Linked DNA regions of Oreochromis niloticus. Each later gene encodes a partner of the first gene's protein in a complex. Links are inferred from orthologs where the notes say so. Each region holds a gene or a part of one and is shown on either strand. Other genes may lie near its edges. The genes, in order: lrp6, dickkopf-related protein 1 and sost.

Evidence for each region.
Region 2: the proteins of lrp6 (region 1) and dickkopf-related protein 1 are in contact, whole or in part, in a crystal structure (PDB 3S8V), measured with the Homo sapiens proteins. The link is inferred for Oreochromis niloticus from reciprocal best matches to the Homo sapiens genes LRP6 and DKK1. Residues at the interface, in NP_001401174.1 of Homo sapiens: Arg639, Glu663, Ser665, Ile681, Tyr706, Glu708, Thr724, Arg751, Trp767, Gly768, Gly769, Pro771, Val790, Gly791, Arg792, Asp811, Thr812, Asn813, Leu814, Pro833, His834, Phe836, Trp850, Ser851, Tyr875, Met877, Arg1184; in NP_036374.1 of Homo sapiens: Glu185, His204, Phe205, Trp206, Ile209, Gln218, Val219, Thr221, Arg224, Arg225, Ser228, Gly230, Leu231, Glu232, Ile233, Phe234, Arg236, Ser258, Leu260.
Region 3: the proteins of lrp6 (region 1) and sost are in contact, whole or in part, in a crystal structure (PDB 6L6R), measured with the Homo sapiens proteins. The link is inferred for Oreochromis niloticus from reciprocal best matches to the Homo sapiens genes LRP6 and SOST. Residues at the interface, in NP_001401174.1 of Homo sapiens: Arg28, Asp52, Val70, Ser71, Glu73, Leu95, Ser96, Asp98, Glu115, Arg141, Trp157, Trp183, Asn185, Ala201, His226, Phe228, Trp242, Met269, Arg336, His361, Asp379, His404, Asp406, Thr422, Glu447, Arg449, Trp465, Trp491, Asn493, His534; in NP_079513.1 of Homo sapiens: Leu115, Pro116, Asn117, Ala118, Ile119, Gly120, Arg121, Arg169, Thr171, Arg172, His174, Asn175, Gln176, Ser177.

The regions. Positions count from the first base shown.
Region 1 is NC_031981.2:21,753,692-21,761,534, reverse strand, and holds the start of lrp6 (low-density lipoprotein receptor-related protein 6), read left to right. Parts: upstream 1-4,475; 5' UTR 4,476-4,874; coding exon 4,875-4,929; intron 4,930-7,843. UniProt on the Homo sapiens protein: Component of the Wnt-Fzd-LRP5-LRP6 complex that triggers beta-catenin signaling through inducing aggregation of receptor-ligand complexes into ribosome-sized signalosomes.
Region 2 is NC_031978.2:15,063,801-15,072,198, forward strand, and holds dickkopf-related protein 1, read left to right. Parts: upstream 1-5,185; 5' UTR 5,186-5,558; coding exon 5,559-5,774; intron 5,775-5,902; coding exon 5,903-6,047; intron 6,048-6,224; coding exon 6,225-6,359; intron 6,360-6,486; coding exon 6,487-6,752; 3' UTR 6,753-7,344; downstream 7,345-8,398. Other genes in the region: cGMP-dependent protein kinase 1, read left to right, coding at 1-8, 236-358, 447-509, 595-661, 754-852. UniProt on the Homo sapiens protein: Antagonizes canonical Wnt signaling by inhibiting LRP5/6 interaction with Wnt and by forming a ternary complex with the transmembrane protein KREMEN that promotes internalization of LRP5/6.
Region 3 is NC_031973.2:6,392,170-6,399,952, forward strand, and holds the start of sost (sclerostin), read right to left. Parts: upstream 3,432-7,783; 5' UTR 3,225-3,431; coding exon 2,969-3,224; intron 361-2,968; coding exon 1-360. UniProt on the Homo sapiens protein: Negative regulator of bone growth that acts through inhibition of Wnt signaling and bone formation.

The DNA.
Region 1 (7,843 bases):
GTAAAGTACAAGGATGCCAACCTCATTCCATTTCAGACTCCACCTCCTTAAAGTCATCACGGACCAATCATGGACTTCATACCTTAATTTTTCTGTTATTGGTTTTAACAAAAGAAAAAATGGTAGACTTATATTGAAAAGTTCTCACAATGAAGACAAAATATCTCTTAATTTAAAAACTATTCTTAGAATTTATTTGAGGTGTTTTTATTTTGTGAAAAAAAAATCAAACTTTGAGATATTTTTTTGGCTTTTTTTTTTTTAGATTATTTGACTTCTCATGAGACAAATTCCTCAGTTGTTACTCGATCTTTTTAAGTCTTATTAAGTGATAGTGCAACTTTGAAGCAGCCTTCAGACTTTAGGCGGTAACACTGCCCTTCTGTGGCCTCTCAGATCACATGATGAGCTCAGAGTCCTGCTGGGAAGCTCATTGGTCCAAAACTTCAGCTGACGATGGAACAAAGAACAAACAGCAATATTTTTACTCGTAGAAACTCAGGAAGCTTCTGAAGTGGACTGGCGAGAAGAAACTATACGAGCGGACTCTGATTCAGATTCTGGCCTTCTTCTGATTCGCCACGGGGTCGCGGGGCCCTTTGTGTATACACCTGCATGTCTTCTTCCTCCCACACGCTTCAGCCATACGAGCCTGTGATTGCTTCTTAAATCACCTGACCGGTGTAGATGTCAGACTCACTCTCTCACTGTGGTGTTTTTGTATTTTGTATTTCACATGTGGATAAATATTCAAACGATGGATGCAATCCTTTGAAAATCGATGCACTATTGTATCCTGTTTTTTTTTTTAAATAATTATGATCTGCTGATTGTTTTTCATAAGTAAGAGGACACTTGCTGCGCACTATTTTCCTATAATGACATTTGTATTGTACTGGATGTGCAGAAACGAGACTGCTATAGCGTCACTTCACCACCAGGTGGCAGCAGCAGCAGTCCGATAAACTGAAGCTGCACCAATGAGGCGTTTTCACTGATACTGCTCTGATTTTTACTTTGATTGCCTAATTAATAATTACATGGATGGTAATAGTTTGGTCTTGTTTTGTGAAGTGATGCTTTTGCATAAGTTTGAACTTTGATGTTTTGTTCTTGTAAGGATTAAAAAACTGTTGATTTTTGAACAGTTTCTGAGTCTGCAGATTTATTTTTTCCTGAGTGTGTTTGATTTTAAATAGAACCGCTGTGATTTTGTATCGTCTGGGTGTTCCACCAGCAAATAATCAAAATTAATCTTGTAAAGTTGTTCCAAGTTAAATAAAATTTCACATTTATCACACCATCACATTTATTACTGTTCTGTATTAACCAAACTGGGCGCAGGTTCATTACAACAACAAAAATAATCAGCCTGAATCTGAGAAAAGTTTCCACCTGACCCATCTGTTTTTTAAATCTACAGAAAATTAAATATATGTCATGGAGCCATGCTTCTACCTTCATATAATGTGTATTTTCAGAGTAACTTGCTGTTAAATTTAGGATTTATCTAACTTGTATTATAAGTTTTTGAGCATTTTTACTTCTTTCAGAGCTGAAAAAACACATTTAACCTCTGTTAAAAACTGCAAACAAACTCCCAAAGGTCTCAGTCTTATGTTATTGCAGATTTCTCATAAACTTGAGTGACGTCTTTGGTCGATGCTGTTCTTGATCAAACTTCTTCTCTATCGTGTCCAGCTAAGCTCCATCTTTGGACAAATTCATGGTGCAGGCTCAACAGTTGGGAAGTGTTTGACAATTCCTCAAAATTTCAAGTTTTTATATCACTTTTCCAGATATATTTATGTACGCCGCACAAAAATTATTTTGAAGAAGGCTAAAATTTTTTTATGATTTAGTGAAGAACAATCATAAGCATTTCACAAGTTTCAAAGACCTTTATTGGCCATAAACATGGCTCGGGGCTAATATGTATGCAAAAAGTTAACGTTTACAGTGTCGACCCTTCTGTTTGTCAGTATCTGGGCCCCAGATGGTGATCCTCCTGCTTTATCACAGTTCCAAGATTATCACTGTTTGTCTCAAAAACTAGAATAAAAACATCCTCAGACTTCTTCCAGTGATCCAGGAGCAGTTTGGTGATGATCTTCCAGCAGGATGTCTTTTGTCTTGTGTCGCAAGATAAAAGTGGTAACTAAGAGGCGTCGAGATTATCAAATAAACATTTTGGATCCTTGGCCAGGAAGCTTCCCAAACTTCAAATCAAGAATCTTTGCTCAGCACTGTAATATTTACTATAGTGGACTTAAATCATATATTATACTGACTCTCCTGTGAGTGTTTGAAACTGGATTTCTTACCATTGTTCTTCACTACATCACAAACACGTATAAAAAAAAGCTAGATAAAAAGTGAAGCAGCAAAATGTATAAAACACTAAATATGTGGTACTGCCAAAATCTTTGGTCATGACTGCATAAAAATAAACTTTAATACTCTAATGTGCTTGTGGCCTTCATCGGGGCCATCATAAATATAACAAACATCATATTCATCTAACCAGGAGCATACTTACCTTCTTACCCTTTGAAATGTTGCCTGTGTTTTATGATGACCCCAGTGAAGTCCACAATCTCAACATTTGTAGTAAAGCTGTTTGTTATGCTACAGGTGCTTCAGAGCTGCTCTCAACGCCGCTTGGCAGAAAGTGATCATCTGCTCTGTTTCAGGAATGATTTTGACTCCTAAAGAATCATGGCTAAAAGATGAGCCTGGCATCAAATGTAGGTAAAAAAGAGACCTTTGATATGCTCTGACTTCAGGGAGTAGCCACTGATCACACATGCTGACATGAGTCTTGAAAGTTTACCCAGAATGCACTTTTTAAAGTTTTCTTCATTGAATTATTATAAAAACAGATCAAACATCCATGGTTTCAACACTTGTTCCTGTTGCTCTAAATCCTCATAATAACATTAAATTGGTGCAGTTTATTCAAGTAATGATTTATCTCATGATACTGACACTCGAATGATTCAAGTTTTTAACAGAGCTTAAATGAGTTTTTCAGCACTTGAAATTTCATGTGGATATTCGCCATACTTACAAAAGTATTATCAAGTCTAAACCCAATCCTAAAAACTCAGTCACTGATCAAATAGTGTGATGGATATTGTGGTTGAACTCATGAAAGGGCACGTGATCAGGTAGTTAATATGTTAACAAGTTACCTCATATTCCTGAAACTGTGAGGCAGTTTTGCTGACCTGCTGATTAAACTCTGAAATATTGTAAATGAGATGCTTTCCTTTCCTCTTTGCTGGACATCTGCGTCCGGTCCACCTTGCTTGTAATTTTTCAGCCCTGCTTTCACTTCCACATCTCCCACAGATACATTCATTAGATAAGACAAGAGTGATCCACACTTTATTAAATCAGCAAGAGATTTTAGAAAAGCTGTTACTCTGAAATAGGAAGTGTACTCTGTAATCTGAGGCCTCACATCCTCAGTGAACTTTCTCCCTCTGAAAGCTTTTGAGAAATCTTGCATTTTCTGATGTTTGAAACCTGAAACTGGGGCTGATATTTCATGAATAAAATCTTAATAATAATAATAATGATAATAATGATAAAGGAATAATAATATTGTAAAAAGTGATTATCTACTTTCTGGGCACTGGGATGCTACTTTCATGAAATTAATATAATTAAAAGGTCCCTTTTGGGGTGACCACAGACCACAGGTTATCTGCCTCCATCTCAGACTATCCCCAGCATTTTTCTCCATCATCTCTTCATGTACTACATCCTGCCTGGCAGCTCCATGTCTATCCACCATTTCTTGTCTGCTGTTGCCCATCTCAACCTTGCCTCTCTAAGGCATAAAACATTAAAATGCAAATCAAAAATAGAAAAATGCAACATGTAAACTTTATAGGGTGTAAAGAAACAGAGAAAACCTGAAATCAGATGTTATAGGTCAGTAAAAAGTGTAAAAATCCAAAATTTTGAATCAAAATTTAGAATCAAAAGTGCTTCTGTTCTTTTTCTCTTAAGAAAAAGAACAGAAGCACTGTAAAATCTATTACGTTATGTAGGTTTATTTACAATATCAGTTTTCACACTTTTTAATAATCCACATAATGGCTTTTTTGTGTGAAAATCAAACAAAAGTGTCAGATTAATCTATATCTGTAATTATTGTGGGTTTCTGGTGAAAATGTGTTTCTTCTGATGTTTTATGGCATTACATAGACTTAGATTTTTAAGATATGTTGTGATGCAGAGATTTAACAAACAAAGCTGATTAAAAGCTTTTTACCAAATGACTGAATTTGGTTTAAAAAAGCAGATATAGTATATAACCATTTCCTGAGCCCCCCTTGCCTTGTGCCACCTGATGAAAAACCCCTGGAAACGCCCCTGCCGTTGGATGATATTGGGGCCCTGTTTTCTGGGGCCCCTGTCCGTGTGATAAAGTAGTCCCGCAGGAATGTGGGGTTAACGTCCGTGTTGGGGGGTGGGGTTCTGTGGGGGTTCGAAGTCGGTTCTGCGGGACGTTTCCGTGCTGTGAGCGTACCTGCGGCTGTGAGGCGGAACAACAATAGAGAGCCGGGCAGCGAGGTGGCGGTGGAGGTGGAGGCGGAGGCTGGAGAGGGGGGGCAGCTTCCTCACAGCGGAAGGAGACGACGGAGCTCCTGCAGGACAATGTGAGACACCGAGAGTTTATCCGACGCAGTTAGCGAGCAGCCAGCCGGGATGGAAGCGGGCACGGTGTAATGCGAACCGGAGCCGAACATCGACCTGAATATTCTGGGAAATCCGCTTTTTTTTGAGCCAAGGAAGCGGCCGCAGCAATGGGAATACTCCGCTGAGGAGCCGCCGCGGCTGGGCCGAGAATCGGGAGAAAGATGGGTGTCGCGCTGCGGAGTCTGTTGTTGTGTAGTTTTTGTTTTCTCATACGAGGTGAGTTTGTGTCCACACTGTGACTTTTACCCACACGTCCCCGCGCGTAAAAGACGCGAAAAAGTGGTGTTGGCAGCCCAGGGGAGCTTTTTCCCTTCTCTGTGGATGTTTGGAGCTCGGCCTCCGGGTCGGATTTCTCCCGAGTGGAGCGAGCTAGCTTAGCCTGCTGCTGCTGCTGGAGGAGAAACCACAAACAGCCCTGTTAGCTGGAAAATACCCCACCAGAGACTACTCACAGCACCGCCAGCTTCCCTTCCAGCGCACCCTTTTGTCGCGGGAGTATGTATTTGGCGCAGTTGGTCGCTCCTGGTTGTGTTTTGTAACTTAAAAACAGGCTGGATCGGGCTCAACAGCAGTTAGCATAACAAATGCTAGGGAGCGAGCTGGTTAGCATCAGTGAGCTAATAGCTAATAAACCATCTACATGGAAAAATAACTTTATTGATAACAATGAACAGAATAAAGAAAAGAAAGGCCAATAAATGTAAAGCATTACACACAAAAGAGCAGCTACACGACTGGACACATCTGTGAGAAATGAATTTATTTGTATAAATCTGACACTAAAGAAACAGTAAAACTGCAAAAAAGAAAAGAAAAACCCTCTAAACTCAGATTACACCAGAAATGAAAGCGAACTGCCAGGTGGATCTAAAGGATGTAAAGAATGAGACCAGGACATGAGTCCGAGGTGGATCTCTTTAGAAAAGTAAACCGAATTAAGTAAATTTATGAAGGTGTCATCGCCATTAAAAATGCTCCGTTAAATTTAGTTTAGTGTTTGCTACACAGCGCGCCTGTGCAGTAGAGCAGAAATACTATATCACAGCAACTCAGCAGGCCTAACTTTATTTGTGTAGCACATCTCACACGATATCATACAGATCATCATCTTGGCCTGAGGAGCTCCTGATAATATCCAGTAAACACTAGAGGATGAAAAATAAAGCACATAAAGCCATCTTATGTAAAGAAAGTTTATAGGTCAGTGAGAGATGATATTTTTTTAAAAACAGATAAAAAACGTGTTTTTTATCTGTGTTAAAAACGGAAACCGTGTTAAAAACTGAAATACAGCGTAATAACTTACGCTGCCTCCTCTGATTTATTTTCATTTATCATATCACATATTCATTCCACAGGTTTCAGTGTCAAACTGTTACCCAATAATTAGGTGTGTTAAAAATTTGTAAATCAAATATTTTTAAATATCAGGTTTATCTTTTATGTATTTAGTTTTTTTCCCCCCATATTTTTGTGATCAAATTACACCAGAAATATGAGCGTAACAATGGACAATCAGATAAATATACAAAATGCTTTCTTTATCCTATATTTGGTCATTCCTTTTGTTGCAACAGTTAATATATAATAAATTACACATTAAGGATAAAATGAGACCAAAGCACGAATGTAAGGTGTAAGTGTCATTTAAACGAACATTTCTGGATCTTCAGTACCAGAACAAATGTTTAACAGTTGGTTAAATTCAGATTACAGCAAGAATTCAAAGTCCAACTCTGAGTGGGATTAACAGATAAAAGATTTGGCGCTGCATGTTGTCAGTCTTCGTTGTGGAGACACTGGTGTAGTTATCACTCTGTGGGATGGAGATTGGGGGTATTTGATTAGTTTTTATCTTGTTTCTTGTCTTCTGTGACTTGTTTCTATAGACTCTGCATCTGGGATGAATAAACATTGATTCACTGTATATCAGGAATATAAATGACAGAAAAAGTGGGAATGAAAATATATTTGTTTGAAATAAGCAAGTTGTACCAAGGCAACGGAAAAAACACTAATTTAAACTCAGATTATCAAAAATAAAGTTAAACAAAGGCTGTATATAAAAGTATTAAAAAGCAACTGATAACGAGCAAGAAATTTTAGAAAAAATTGCTAGAAAGACAATTTTCTGCGCAAGTTCCATAAAATGAGTTTAAGTCCAAGATTAAAAATATTAATAAAGCAATGACGTATGTAGAGCAGAGAGGCTTCAGGGTGTTCGCGTTGCTCTCTGCTGTGCTGCGGTTCAACACTAGAGCCAAGTTTAAAAAAAGCTGGGTTTAACTAATCCCACCACCTGCACCTGCATGCTCGAGTTTCTTTTTCTGACTCACGACTTAAATGGGACGCGGTGGTAATGCAGCCTGGTGATTGGGTGGTTATTGATCAGATCATACACATACAGGAGTCATTATATATTCTGCCTGAATCAGTTTCTCCATCAATCCCCCCTTATTGATTATTCATGAGTTTTGTTTAGGTTTCAGCTTCACTTAAACTTTATATTTAAATGTGAGTATGAACGAAGGACAAACAGGGTAAGTAAAACTCTTGCAGGTGACTCGTGTGCAAATCTCCACTGTTCTGAAAATATGGCACCACATATGGGTACAGATCCTGTAAATAAGTCCAGCTCTTTGCTGAGTTAGAAGAGTTGAAATGATCATACAGTAATTTGTCACAGTCAAACCCATGAACCGATCGGACGAGTGTCTGTTCACTGTGTGGATGATGACCTCACCAAGCGGCTGAGATGTCGTAGTTCAGGTTGTCTGTTTAACTTTTTCTGCCAAGGATAATTTATGTGCAGTTTTTTGCCACCTCACTGTAAACCAGACATTCCCAAACTTCAGACCGCCCAGTTTGAGTTTAAAAATCTTTGTGGTTCGCCCAAACCTTCAATCACAGCTCAGATCATCACATGCACTGAAAATGAAGGATTTTGTTTGTTCTTTCATTGATTCATTTTGATCTTCTGATTGTTTTTCCAAAAATCAGCCAAATCAAACATGTTGAGCTACACGCTCTCAACCTCTTAGAGACGGCATAAAGTCACTTTACTTTCCAAATTAACTTTTATACTTTCCAACTGATGTTGCGATATAAGATGGGTTCAGACTCAAAGGCA
Region 2 (8,398 bases), on another chromosome or scaffold:
ACTGGCAGGTACCCACAGGCCCGGGCTTGTCCTTAACAAACTTGTTTATGAAGTTTTTGCGGTAATGCTATATACATGCAAAACTTTTTGGAAATGTTGAGTCACCTGGTGAAAATTAAAATGTGTCAGCTCATTGCACAATTTACACAGAACAGTTTGATGGTAGCTGATTACATAATTGTCCACACTTAAGCACTTTTTACTTCAAAGTAATATGTTGGCCTCTGTTGTGTAGTCCTCCATTCTCTGGCCCTGATCCTATGAAAACCTACAACATCATCTTGAGAGGAATCGACATGATTGAGTTTCCAAAGAAAATTACCAAAAATGCTGCCAACCTAATCAAAAAGCTATGCAGGTAAGTGTTTATGCCTGTAGACATTTATACATAGTAATTCATTTAAGTGGTCTGCGTGCTGAATCATATATTATTTTTTCTACTTCAGGGATAATCCTTCTGAAAGACTGGGAAACTTGAAAAACGGTGTCAAAGACATCCAAAAGCACAAGTGAGAAAACGCATTACTCAGTCCAGACATTTGTATTAATTTGTTCGCTGTACAATGATGAAGTAATGCTATTTTTTTCTTTTAGATGGTTTGAGGGCTTTAACTGGGAAGGTTTGAAGAAGGGGACACTGACACCACCTATTATCCCTAATGTAAGTGCACACTGTGCTCATTTTGTTTTGTTTTATAGCCACTCAGTTGTTGCTTATTCTTTATGTGAAAGATTATTTTGTGTTTCTACCAGGTCACATCAGCAGTTGACACGAGTAATTTTGACAGTTTCCCAGAGGACAATGAAGACCCACCTCCTGATGACAACTCCGGCTGGGACGTTGATTTTTGAAGTCCTCTTCTCTTGAAACCAGAAGAAACTCTTCTTTTGTTGGCTTTTAATGGTTTGGAGGTCATTAATGGAGGACATGGCTGTGTTGTAAAAAACAAAACTGCATTAAAAATGAAAGAGAAGATATGGAAAAGAAGATAAATAGTTGGATGGCAAACCCTCTGGGTCACCGATATGCCTTTATTTCACTGTGGCTCTGGATCAAGCATTTATAATGGGACTGCTGTAGCACTTCTCCGGTGTTGTTTTACACTTGGGTCTTAAAGGCAAAGAAAGTGCAGGGATACAAACACACACATACACACACAAATACAACAGAGGCTGATAACAGAGCCAGGTTTTCCCATGTAACATGAAGCAATGCTTAGTGGATGGATGAATGTTTTAAAGTTTGTCGAAGTTTTGCTTCTACGACTAGAAAAAGGAACTATATGTTGACAACCGCTCAAAAGAGGAAGGGGATGGTTATTGGTTTTTCTTTTTTTATAGATTCGTTTTTCCGCAATCTTTAGTGAAATATTTGGTGGACTCTGGGAGGGGATATGATGATACTGCAGTTGGTCCCTGGTTATCAACATGCAGCTGCTTTCTGCAATCTGTAATGCTTTGTAGACATCTACACACTACAGATGGCAAGTGCAACTGGTACCAAGTGCTCACGACTAATCTGAATGTCACAGATTTTTCTTCTTATTGAAAATACAATATGAATGGTACGTAGTATTTGAATTTACGAGATCTATCATCACACATGAACGTTACTGGGCTGAAATCAAATACTTAGTACAATTTATGTGAGATTAATCTACCTTGAAAAGCACAAACACAGTGCATTCAGTGGAAAGAGATGTGACTCTTAAAGTGCCCTCCTTAAAATTTTAATGAATCACACACCGGCACACATGAAATGTCAGCTAGTATTTCCATGAAGCAATGTGTCCTTATGCACTTAAGACCATTAACTGAGAAAATCCACAGTTATAGCTCATTTTAAGCTTAAGTAGAGGTCACACTTTTCTGTTCTATAATAGGCTTTAAAAAAAAATCATGCATACGAATGCTTCTCTGCCTACATCCGTCTTGAGTTTGTTTTTCAGTCACTTCTTGAATCCACCCAAACCGGACGTCCTCTCCTGTATAGTACTGACATAACTGTGAACATGGTTTTGATGTCTTTGGTGCTGTTGATAAATTATAATAAGCGATGTTGAGATGACAGTACTGGTTCTTTGTTTTTGTATTGTGATTTCTTTTGTGCTTGATTACTTTGTAACGTACTTGACAGCATTCTTTAGAAAAATTGGAGACTTGTATAAATTTGTGAACTTGATCGATGATTTATCACTTGTGGTATTGTCGAGGTTTTTAAACAGGTTTCACCATGTTGAGTTCAGCCGTGAAAAAAAAAATCATCCTTCTGTTTATTTGGAACTCAGATTTACCACATTTGCATTATCATAAGACTATCTTGACTTAACATAATCGCGTGGGAATCTTGAAGTGTCTCCTAGAGGCAAAAAGAAGCTAAATAAATAAGGTTATATTTTGTGAAATCTCAACTTTGATCACCATGATCTCTCGCCCAGCTCGTCACCTCTTGCGTCCAAAAATCAGAACATGAAGTCAAAAGGAATGTAAGTGCCTTAAGTCAATGGCATACAAAATTTACATCACAAGACCTTTTCGATGCTGCATGAACACATATACACCTCAAAAACTTATGTGTCCTCTTAGATGGCTGCTTTTCATCCTTTCTTATATCTAATAAATACATTAATCACCACAGAGAATTTCTAGTCATTTGATGGCTGACAAAATATATGAGAAAAATTTCCTGCTTACGCCTTTGATTTATGCCACGAGAACATTTAAAATGATTAAAAGCTATCCTACCTGATATGGCTGCAATGACATGCTTTTCTCCACATATCTAATGTGATCTTTTGAAGTCAATCACTACTGGCCTGATACAAAACACCAGTGAGCATTAATCATGGCTCAGAAAGACCATCCATCACTTGTTTCAGTCAGTAAATTTGAGCTTTTAGAGACGGCAAGAATGATTTGCAGTTATGAATATTTTGCCAGTACAAATATGGAAATATTTTTATCACTGTTGACAGTCTTTGACAGAATGTCAGCATTAATCATATCTCATCACGATTCAAATTCTCTTTTCACTGTTTGGCTCAAAAGCTCAAGTCACATTTCACCCCACTAGCAGGAGAAGTTTGCCTTTCAAAAGCTTTCTTATCCGTTGTAGTTTACAGTCATTGTTTGCTTGTGTCTAGGCAGCAAATCCACGTGGTAAAGCTTGAAGAAACAGTTAAAATTCATCCTTTTGACGATATTAACCATGTATTGCAAAGCCTTTCTAGGCAGAAAGTTCTGAAGGCAAAATTCTCCTATGTGCATTCACCCCAGGAAGCCAAACATACATATTATATGAATCTATTGATGGAGAACTAAAAAAAAAAAAGAAGAAATCTTAATTCTAAACCATAAGTGTTTTACTGTGTCGGGGGAGGGAGGGGGGTATGTTTTCACAAAGCCTTATGTATGTCATAACTTACCAAACCACTGGTTTTCAGTTTTTATTGACTGCCTTCTGCAAAGTTACCTGATATTTGCCTTGTGTTGTTATTTTTCTGCTGTAAGTTATTTTGCAGAGTGCCACGTGTACGATTTTTAAAATTATAGAGTAAAAACAATACTTTTGAGTCGTGTGTGCTGTGTTCTTTCAAACTTGTGCTGTGCAGAGTTCGCTGTATTTGCCACAAGGGGGAGCTAATGGTAAGACTAAAACGTCCCTTCACGCAGGCGCCTCAGCCTCATGTGAACCGCTTAAAGTTCCCAGATATCTAATAATCACTCCAAGAGTTTAATGTCATCCACTTAGTGGTAAGTGCGGATGATTCAGCTTTTTTGGCCTCCGTGTTGTTCGCACAACAAATCTGTTTGGGGCACAGGGAAATGGCTTCAGCCATAACAACAGGGTGACACTTCTGTGAGATCAAAGGGGATCAAAGTGCATCAAAGGAGCTCACCTTACCAGTACTGACATTCAGTAAAGTGGAGATAAAAGCTCTACTTCAAAAGATATGCAGCAATTCAAATGCGCAAAGTGCTAATGTGTTTGTCAGGTGTCTATGGCGCATCGCTTATTCTTCTACACACGCAGACACGTTCTCACACTCAAACTTCGGATAAAGGCTCCGTGACCAGCAGATGACGTCCAAGTGCTAAGATATCTACAAGGAGAAACTTAAGTTCTTGTTTTTTATCACGCACTTCAGCATCTGAAGGGAGCTCTTCTTGCACAGCGAAAACTGACTGTTCACACACACAGTGCAAAAAGTTTTGAAATCAGTGTCACTAAAGGTTTAAGGTGAATAAATAAATCAGAAGAGCTCACATCTCTCAGGAAAGGGACGAGAGATAACAACTTAAGGACAAACACGGAGACAAGTCTAGTGCGATGTGGGGTTATCAGCAGATTCACGTGGAAAAACAACATTGAGACTTAATTTCAATATTCTCAAATACATTTCTCCTTCTTGAAGTGGTGGAGCCTAAAGGGTCAAAGAGCAGGGTAGATCAGAGTCGCCTTTAATCTCAAAGTGCCAGTCAACCCTGAAAGGCCTCTCCACGGAAGTCCATTAATTCGGCAAAGTTTTCACACCCCTTAATGGTCTGCATATCCTACACATTGATGTCCGCAACTGGTGTAATCAAGCACACGTTGGGGGATAATTGCCCCCTTTGCAATCAGAGGGATCAAATGAAGTAGTTAATCGACTTAAGTAACTTCAATCGCTGTCTTCACACAGCCAAAGGGCAGCCAAAGGATGTCAAAGAAACTGGAATAAGCAAACGGCTTCTACAAAGATGCGCAGGTAAGTTGTCACCAGAAATAGTCCTATCAGAGATATAAATCAAAATCAGTCAACAAATCAAATGTGCTACCACATTTAGAAAAACGTCATTGTTTTTATTTTATAAAGTTATACCTATAATAGTTTGAAAAATATACTACTTGCCTATTTTGATAACTTCACAGTAATTGCGAAAATTAAAATAAGTGATAAATAACATGGAGAAAAAAAAAACTATTCCCGATGTGTGATTTGTGTGTTTAAAATATAAAATTGTCGTTCATAAGAGATCTATCTAAGGGGGAGGGACTCGAGTGATGAATTTGTGAGTAATATTTTTAAAACACATCGAAAAAATATTAAAGAAAACATTATTTGTCATCTGTATTTTTTATGTTTTTATTTATTTATTTATTGTATACTGATTGGATAGAGTAAGTACTGACTGGTGGTTGGGGGGTTGTTTCCCGTGTACGCCACTGTGTGATGGGTATTCAGACAGACTTTGCAGGTCATTATCATCACAAACACTGAAACGTTGTCCTGTGCAGGGAGCAGAGATGGCCATTTCCGTACAGTGGGTCTCTGTTTGAAATTCCACCCCTCCGCCTTTGTAGTGCACAGCGAGGGGCGGGAAGACAAACAGGTCCACATGTATAAAGAGAGATCATCCCAGGACTGCGAGTCAGGAGACTTCCAAACATCGTCCTGAAACTCTCTGGAAACTTTAGGATTCTGGATTCAAGGCCGTTTTGGACTTTGTCACTCTTCTTCTCAAAACAAAAGGGACATTCTTATCGTGTGTTTGCCGGAGAATTTAAGAAAGGAATCATGAAGATGCCTTCAGTCCGCCGCTTCTTGGCTGTGTATCTCACGCTGTTTGGATACCTTGGGGACGTTTACGCGGGCACAGTCCTGACGAACTCCAACGCGATCAAAAACCTGCCCGGCGCTCCGGTTGTTAAAGATACCGATAGTGTCAGTCCGAGTCCTCGAACATCACCTTCTGGTGGCATGGGACACAAATTACCCGCAGACACCTTGCAGGTAATTAACTCAGCCGTGCGTAAAAGTCAAGTCTGTGCACCACAATAGTGATTCGCTTATATACGTTGTCACAGAAATCATAGCAATATACTTCCTGACATAATATTTTTGTTTTTAATCATATATAGAGCTCAGGTGTTTGCACGGATGATGAAGAGTGTGGAGGTGAGGAATTCTGCAACGATGCTCGAGGCGTCTGTCTACCCTGCCGTAAGAACCGAAAGCGTTGCGCAAGGGACTCGATGTGTTGTACAGGAAACCGCTGCAGCAACGGTGAGCTCATTTCAAATCAGTAATGACTTTTGGTTTTCTTTTTGTCATCTTGTAAACTATATTTTTTTATTCAACTTTCTACTTATTATTTATATCTTAATTAACTAAGGGCTTTTTCTGTAGTGTTAATTGCAAACCCTAAATGCAGTTATTTATTTTCGTCTTTTACCTTTTCAGGTGTTTGCCAGGCAAATGACTTAGATGGTGCAGATGTAGCTCTCACCACTGGCTGGCACACACACAACAGTACCACGGAGCATCGAGCCAAGAAGCCTCCCACTGCCCATAGCAACCAGCCTCATGCTGTCAAAGGTAAGTGTGCTGTTAAAAATCATCAGTCTTATCTCTTGGGTTCAAGTAACAGCAGTAGGAAGTTTTCAGGGAGGTCTGTTCCATGTAACATATTTTCACTTTGTTCTCTTCCCCCCCTCATCTCCAGGCCAAGAGGGGGATGCCTGCCTGAGATCTGCAGACTGCTCCAAGGGTCTTTGCTGTGCCAGACACTTCTGGTCTCGCATTTGTAAGCCTGTTCTGACAGAGGGCCAGGTGTGTACGCGCCACCGCAGGAAAGGCAACCATGGCTTGGAGCTGTTCCAGCGTTGTGACTGCGGCGAAGGGCTGGCCTGCCGACCAGAGAAAGGAGAGCGAGATCACACTGTCAGCAGGACTGCAGCCCGGAACCTACACACCTGTCAGAGACGCTGACATGAACGAGTGGACGCACACAGAAACAGAAACCTGCACACTCACACGCCCAGCAAAACCCACAAATCAGTCACAGACACTGACAAACACTTGCATACACAAGAGATGCTGACACACACGCGCACACACATGCACACAGACACCTAAGACATTCTTTCCTGCCAAAGTTGCTGACACAAACACATCAGCCGGAAGGATAGACATGATTCCTGGAAAAGTGATACACCCAGAGGGATACAAGAGTGCAAGACGGACTGATTCAATTCCCTTTCAGCAGATGAGGAGTCGGAAGTTAGGAAGTGACATTTCAGAAGTATTAGGAAGATCAATGCATGTCGTTGGTAATGGCAGAGCTGTTTTGTTTCTCTTTTTATGGAACTTCATGCCACGGTTATTGCAGTAAATTACTGTATTGTACATATTTCCCTGGATGTGGCACTTAAATGAGCTATTACATTCTGTCAACACCAGTATTATAAAGACATGGTGCTGCATGCATTGTAAATGTGTTATATATAATGTTTTATAAGAAATGTTATCTATTGAAAATTTGAATATATTTGTTTTATTAAATGTCACGTGATAATCTTAATGCAGTCTTTCTATTCATCATTTTTTAAAATTTGAATCTACTGCAACAAAAAAAGGGGGGGGGGCTTTACGTAGGATTTGTAGAGGTTTCTTGCAAAAGTTAAAAACTAAATGATTTAGTCTTCATATAGTAGCTGGTACACAGAAAAATAACAACTGTCCCCTTCTGAAAAGCAAAAGTTGTTTGAAGGATGTCTGTGGTGCTTAACCTGGCCCAGAATCACTAAACACAGTTGTTACACAGACCCAAAAAGACTTACAACAAACATACAACTGTAATGAGTTACTACTGGAGCCTCAACACGTCAGGTCCTGCTGTGAAAGCAGAGAATGGTCAATCAAGGATATATTATCAGATGAAGGCAACCCACCATATCAAATGATGCCTACAAAGAGGTAATAACTAAGTATCTGTGTCCTGACGAATGTGTTTGCCACCTACACCTTTGGTGTTGGCTAGTTTCTAATTATGATGTTCCTGCCTTCATGTGCAGCAGAGCAGATAGCTGGCTATCCAAGCTAAAGCCTCTAATTATTTCATCTTACTCAATCTACACAAGGCTTCATGAAATGAGGTGCACCACAGCACTTTTTCTGTGATGCAACAACAACAAAAAAAGTTCTCAGTCTCTCCAATTGCACAGCACACCCCATTTCCTGGCTGTTGCGCAATAGATGTGCTCTAATATGTAGGCTATGAATCCACTCAAATACACCTTGGTACCTGTAATTAGAGATGTTTAGATTAGAAGATGGTGAGGAAATTACTATACTTTTTGTTTGATTCTCTTGTCAGATCAAAAGACGCACAAGACACTCTTGATATCTGACCGAGCCAGATAACCTCTTCATCTGTTTACATCCACAGACATTAGCTTGAAGTTTGTCCAAAGAAGACAAGGTGAGGTTTACTCTGGCTGTCATTGAAGATTAGTGGTGGAAAAACAAAACCATCGGCTCAAATCTTGCGCTAAGGTATTTGTGTGGCTCACTCTAGTTATTTACTTTAATTTTATTTTAGATTTACCTCAACCTTTTGGAAAACGGTTTTTTAT
Region 3 (7,783 bases), on another chromosome or scaffold:
GCAAACGACTGTGCTTCTTGCTGCGTTGCGTCTTCGGGACCTCCTTGGCCACCGACTGGTTGTGATGCGGCCTGAAGCGCTTGCACTTGCAGGAGGTGACCACGCGGATTTTGTACGTCCGAGTGTTGCCGTTGGGACACTGCAGCTGGACCCTGCGTGTCCGGGAGTGCGCCGGGATGCAGCGGTAGTCTGAGGCGCTGCTTCTCCACCACTTGCCACGGAGGATGGAGTTCGGCATGAGGTGCGCGGGCAGGCACTGACCCGAGCACACCAGCTCTCGGATAGGCTTGGCACTGCGGCAAGAGCCGTCGGTGATGTAACGGGTCGAACGCAGCTCCCTGCAGCTCACCTCCGAGGCACCTGGGTTGAAGAGAGGAGATAACCGTTAACACTCATGGATCGAGTCCAGAACAAACACTCTGGAGAGCCACACAGTGCTGCGGACTTTCTGCAGGGCGACTGCAGCTGTGTCTTATTTCAGTGTGTGATCATTTGCCTCGGTCTGTTTATGCCAACGTGACTTCACGTGTTGCGTTATTTATGTGAAAAACAAACAACGTAAGGCAAATAAAGTCTGAACCGGAGGCAGCGTTTCATTTCAGCTCCGACACGTTACGAGACACAAAAGAGCAGCTGAAAAATCCACTTTTCTAAATTCAGCCTAATACAGTAATTTGTACTTTTAAGTGGAGGCTTAAGCCAATGAGATCAGAGTTTCTGAATTTGATTTATGGTCTGATCATTAGCTGACAACTGGGCCTGACGAAGAAATCCAGCTGGCAGCAATCAGCTGATAGCAAATCCAGACCAGAGGGCCATTAAACAGCTCAATCAAACCGAACGGAGGTTTGGTCTGGAAGGAAAAAGCTGGCATTCACCGTTGGCCCTCAGGAAATGTATGTGGTGATGGAAGAGTAAATAGCTGTCTGGTTATTTTAAGGCAGCGCTACAACTGTACACTTCTGAATAAACTGGACATCTGCCAGGCTGATTCGAGACAGCACACTCAGGCTGTAATCCTATATTTCAGCTGCAGCTTTTTAACAGCCGTACGCATGAGTTATTGTCCTGTGTTTTTTTTCTTTTTCTTTTTTCTTACAAGCTGCATGTTTAAAAAAAAAAAGAAAGAAATCGAGGAGGCAAAAGAACTGTTGGTTAAGAAATGATACACTCGGAGAAGGATCTGTTTTCCTCTGTGGCTTTCTTTGCAAAAAGGGCTGAACAAAGGATTTATGTGAGGTGACTTCCTTTTTTTCCCCTCTCCTCACGAGAACATGATCTAGTGTTATTCTGCGGCTGCTGGTGAAGGCGACCGCAGAAGTATACAACGCCTACAGCGTACACCGGGTGGCGGTTTGCACCAGTTACCACCATATGCCAAGACAGGTTGTCTTATTTATGAAGCACCAGGATGTGTTTTAATCCAGCCTAACATTTTCAATTCTCCACCCTAGTTTTAAAATTACTAATGAGCCTCAAATTTTCATGATTACACACTAGACTACTGTAGAGTTGCGTGAGCTGTTCCTTTCCCTCAGCTGTGGGAGACAAGCCTCTGGGGAAGACTGGAGGGAGGCCAGGCAGTGGTCACAGCCTCTTTTGTGACCCCACAGGGGGAAGGATAACTTGAAAATTAAGATATGGGTGAAGAAAATAATCCAGGAGAGTTCTGCCTTCATTAGCTGCACATTCACTGTAAAAGCAAGAGATGCATTTTCCATCCCTGCTAATAATGAATAAATTCCTGTTAAATGAGATCTTCTGGAGCTGTTGCTTGGCGTGTGATTTTTTTTCTTTTTCTACCCTTTAAGACAAGAAAATCAGTCACACTAACTCTCCTCGACTTACTACTCACTTCTTGTCAGCTGTTGCTCTTCTAATCTAATCAATCATCTCCTCTGATCTCCAAATCAAGGGGCCATAATTTAACAAAAATGTTGCACCACCCATCTCGAATCCATGAGACCAAGCATGAGATTATCCTGCATGCGCTACTTAATCAGAACACACAACCGTTACCGGCCACAGGTGGGAATCATTGTCAAAGGCAGTGTTGCATTTAAAAAGCAATTTCTAAAACCCCCCCAAAGACATCTCCCCAAAGAGCAAACTGTGGGGTTTTTTCTGTTTGGGAGACATGTTGTTGCAATCAAATAGTTATGGTGGAAGTAGAGCTTGACTAATAGTATGAAGAGAGAAGGAAACAACCTGGAAGACAATGTGAAAAAGCCCCGATGTCTCACTGACTGCTGTGTGTAGGGGAAGAAACCACAGGAATGTGCGTCTGAGCCGCTCTCATCACCCTCACCTCTGGATTAAACCAGACCTTTTACACGCTTCTTAATCAGGAAATTGATGTGATAATGAAGCAGGATGTAGAGGCAGGGTGTTTTAGGGCAATTTTTAAAAAGCCACATTAATTTGGAGAGCCTACATTTTCCACATACACTGAATATTTTTGACACAAGATTTTAAATTTTATTTTATTTTTAAGCCAAAAAAAAGTTGAATTAAAGTTTAAAATTCTTAAATGTGGAAAATATAATGAGAAATAAACTTTCCTAATTTATGTCACATTTTTGTGTATTAAGTAAAGGTTGGGTGTACAGCGCAGTTGGGTCCACGTTTATTCTTTATAAACGTGCACTAATTGAAAATGGGGACCTAAAATCAAATAAATAAACATTTATGCTCCTTCCTGCTTGTTCTCATACAAGCTGGGAATAGGTTTTATGCGATAAAATCCGAAAGTTTTCTAAATTTAAGCCTTTTAATGAGTTTTTATAAAGCTCTGACGGATGGTTAATTTTACGCACAAGAGCCTCCAATTAAGAGGTCAAATTAAATCACTCCAGCATTTAAACTTTAAGCATTGCGTCGATTTACTTATTGATCTTTACCTTCTCATTTTATTTAACTTGTAAAATTAAATATTTAACATTTGTTCTGTCATCTTTATGATACTTACTGTAGGAAACTGTGCTTGCCGCCCGTCCGCCGTTTTTTGCCCTGTTATTCATAGCGTTGCTGTTGTTGTTGTTGTTATTGTTGCTGTTGGACGGCTGTAGTATTGCCTCCAGCGGCGTCCGCGTATTTTCTCTGCGTTCTGGTAAAATCTCCGTGCCATCATTTTTTAAAACCTTCCATCCCTTCACAGCGGTGCAGCATCCCTGGAGCAGCAGGAAAGCCGAACTGGAGACGAGGAGGGCCACAGACACCTGCATGCTTGTCGGTCAGCAGGAATAAATCACACAAGGAGATTTAAAAAAAAAAAAATTTGTTAAAATAAAACACACACACACACACACATACACACACATACACAAGAGATGTCCTTCTGAACAGGCTGGTCACTTGCACTCTCAAAGCAAGAGGCGAATGCGGTATTTAAGCGCTGCGCAAGTTTTCGTCAGGGCTGACAATTAGGCGCTTACACAAAGTGGGAGGGATTGAACCTGGCCGAGAGATTCATTGAGAAAGGAGGAGGGGAGAGGTTTGGATGAATGCGCAGAGAGAGGAGAGAGCAGGAGAGGAGTAACAGAGAGAGGAGAGAGCAGGAGAGGAGTAACAGAGAGAGGAGAGAGAAGAAGAAAAGTAATAGAAAACTGAGAAGATCAAGGAAGAAGAGACCGCAGTGAAGGAAAATACAGATATGAGCAGGAGTGCTTCCATTATTTATTTACTTATTTTTAAAATAGTTAACCAGAATATTTGATCAGAAATTTAAAAAAAGAGTGTAGAGGATATTAGGGAAGATTTCCAGGCTTGTGTGCAGCCTTATGCCTTCATAGAGTACATATGTTCTATATGAAAAGTGTCTGCACAAGTGCCTGAAAATCATTTTGTCAAGTATTTAGACCATTTACTGAAGTAAAAGCCATAAGCTTACTGAAATGGTACAAACGGCTAATGTGTATTGTTTGGCCATATAGAGCAACAGTGTGGTGATATTTCCATCTACATGAAATAAAAGTAACATTTTCTTCTTTTTTTGATCTTTAAATGCTTCAAAGTACTCATTATGTTATTCAGTCATAATAATTGATTCATTAATGTACATGTCATTTTAATCACCTTTACATACAATATAATAAGTAACCAGGCTGATGTCTGCATTGGTCAGTTAAATGCTTGAGTAAAATTCTGAAGTTATGCTCTACCACTTATCCATGTTCTTATCCACTGGTGTTGGGGATTATAAGCCTAATAATTCTGGGCTGGTGCCACCCTGTGCCATTGCTCTAAACACACCCTTGGGTGTGAGATGAGACTGAAAAAGGAGAAGAGAGGGAAAGGTCAGAGGAGAGTGGAGGAAATGGGAGTAAAAAGAGTTAAGATAAGGGGGATGAAAGCCAAAGGAAAGGGTTGAAAGGACAGAGAAATAAAAAAAGAGATACTGGAGAGGAGCTTACTTATGTCAGAGAGTGTTGAGTGAGGCAGCTCATCTGCACATCGCTCTGTGCCGCTGTTGTTGTTACTGGATTTAAGTGCACCGGTGCATCTTCTCCTCCCCCTTCTTTAACAGCTTCCGCAGCATTACGTGTCTCAGAAAGCATTTTTTTTTTCAAGGGGGTTTATTTTGGACTTCATCGCAGGGTGCAACTTGTTCCACTGCTGCAGCAAACATGCGCCACACACACTCCACCCGAGACACGTTTTTACCCTGTCTTTGACTCAAGGCTGTACACAAATTAATCATTTGATCCTTCACATTAATTACCCATCATTACACGTCTCAGCAGAGACACTTAATATAACGAGATGTGAAAATCTAAAAAAGTATGAGCACAGCAACATGTGTTCTGAACACAATTTAAATGTTTGCCATGACAATCCAATATTTCATATCCACATATCTGTTTTAAATAAAATGTTATAGACTGTGAGTTCTTGGCACCCCTCATATCCCAGTGATTTGATAAGTGCTGACAGATGGAGGCTCTTCCATTCAAACACTGCCCTCTTGAGGGAGACTACACAAGTTTTGCATGACACTGTCCGGCTCTACTGATGGGTACAGGCATGCAGATCTTTGGTTTTTATCTCTTAAACTCTAAAGTGGTTCTCTTGGTCAGTATCGCATCGCTCTAACCGCTCATTGAGGCACCGATGTGCTTCCATAATCATACACACCCTCCTCATGGTCTTTCTAGTTTTATACAAGCCTCAAATGAGGGTTTGAAGCTTTGGCCAACTGGCCCATCCATCACAATTTAAAGTGGTGAACATAATGGGGATAAGATTAAATTAAATTTATTGTTAAGGAGTTTTAAATAACATCAGCCAGTCAAAAACATTTTCTTCTGAAGAGAAAGTAACAACAGAGCTTTTCATCATTTCTAAAAGCCTCGTATAGGGGCCACTCTTCTTGAGTGTCAAATCCAATTATCTTTAAAATTTGCATTTTCAGTCCAGCCTTTAGGAGCTTAACAGTCCTTTCATGTGTAAACGTTCCTGCATCAACTGTAGGTATGTAATAGTGTTGTTTTATAGCTGCTACTAGATTTGATGGAATTTAAAAAAAAAGGTCAAATGTTGGTTTAGTGAGAACAAGTTTTTTTTCTTGGGGCTAAACTAAAGCTGCATTAAAAGTAAAGTAAAAAAAACACAACACAGCAAAAACACTTAGCAGAAATGAAGATAAGAACATGGAACTTTCAAACAACAAGAGAAAACAGTCTTTAAATGGGCTAATAAGCCCTGAAAATTAAATGTAGTTAAAAAGACTTAAAAAGCACCTGGATCTGTAACTCTGTTGTTCACAATAGTGAAGCTGCTCCTTAAGCAATACTCACGTCAGAGCTGAAAAACAGTTTTTACTTTCAAAAAAAGTACATAAAGACAAATTTTGATACTTTCTGTGCAACTGCAGTACAGCTTCAAACATCATGACACATTGCTGTAAAACCACAAAACAGTTTTTACAGTAATTTAGCATTTTTTTGTGTGTGTACGGATAAATACTGTAATTGTTGACCGCCTGCTCATATGAGCTCAGCAGAACGACTCAAGTCATTCAACTCATTAATGTAGAAGTGTTGTTATGCCTGTTTTAGGTATGTCGTGTTTAGATTATGATCGTTGTGGATGTGTGGTTTGTGTGGTCTTAGCTAACAAAGGGCCATCAACACAAAGACTCCTGAAGCAAATCATCATGTCCAGACGGTGTTGTTCTAAAAGTCGGCTGTTCGAATGTTCTGTAACGCATTATTCACATGACTGTTTGATGTGATGATGGGAAATTGCACAAAAGCTGATGTCAATAAATAGTTTAAGAAGGAAAAGAAACTTGTTCAACAGCCATGATCTTACATTTTTATCTTTTTCATCAGACAATATGATAAATTTACCACATATTTGCACCAATTAACCTCAACTGTTTTGCTTACTCATAGTGCATTTCATATAGATGCATATTTGCCAGTAAAAACACAGTTATGCACTGGCTATCTCATGTGTTTGCATGGTTTCTGTTATAATTTATGATATTCATAACATGTAGGAGTTTATTCTATAAAACCCTTTTAGACTGAATGTATTTTCAGTGCATTTAAATAATATATATTTTATATTTTGGCGTGTAAATGCCCCAAAATATCAAGTGACCCAAAGATAAATTCAGAATAAAATATGCTGGGATCATTTTTATGATTGTTGAAATAAATTAAAATGTACAAAAATCAAAAGCTGTTGAGATGCCTACATTTTTTTGTAATTTTGCCAAAATCTGTAAGTAGAGGAAAATGTTTATGGCATAACCATAAACATTGATAGAAAGTGATAGTGACACATTTAAAACATAAAGAGCAACACTGCAGTGGTGTTTCTGGCCATTTCCAATTTTTACTTATATTTTCATCTTCATTGTTAAAATGCGGCACTATATTTAGCAGCCGTTTGGTGCTATCAGAAACTAAAATTCACACCTTAAAAGGGGGGAAAAAATTGTTCTTCATTTTTAAAATGTAATTTATTAAAAACATGGTTTACTTCTTAAGTGCAAACTTGTAAGAATTTGTCGAATGAATAAAAATGAGTTTGCCACACTTGGGCTAAACAGTGTTTTTATCCATGCATCCATTTTTTTTCCTGCTTATTTAATTCAGGTTCAAGGTGGGACTTGAGCGTATCCCAGCTGTCATAGGGCGAGAGGTCAGGTAAATGCTCTAGTCTGTTGTACAGAGGGGCAAACAACCATTCACATTCCAGCCTAATGTTTATGTCTTTGGACTGTGGGAGGAAGTTGGAGCACCTGAAGAGAATCTACGCAGGCGCAGGGAGAACATGAACGCTTGCTTGGACGGAGCTAAGCACTGCGCCGCCATGCCGCCAAGGTGAAATGTGTAATATAAGATTCTTCTAATGGCTACAACGGATAGAGTATAAAACTTTAGTGAAGTTTGCATCAAATTCAAAGTGTTCACTTTTTTCCAAAAATTGCAGATTGGCAGCAACGTGAAATCTGATGAACAAGAGTATTGTGAAAGATGCTAACAGGGGAGTTTGGCAGACCTATGCCAAAAATCAAAGAATCTGAACCAGAGGGTGATCTTTTGCAACAGTATCCATTGGTAATATAATATAATTACAGGTAAGAACTCTGTATTGGAGTACATTATGTTTAGCCCCAGCAACGACGCTGCTTCTTTTGTAACATTTATGAATTTTGACATCGAGCATGATTCTCATTTTATAATCCAAGGGGTTCTAAAGTAGACTGAGCAGACAGCCTTGTCTTCCTATTGTGTGTAACCCTCCAGCTCTGAGGCTGTGCCAGATTTTT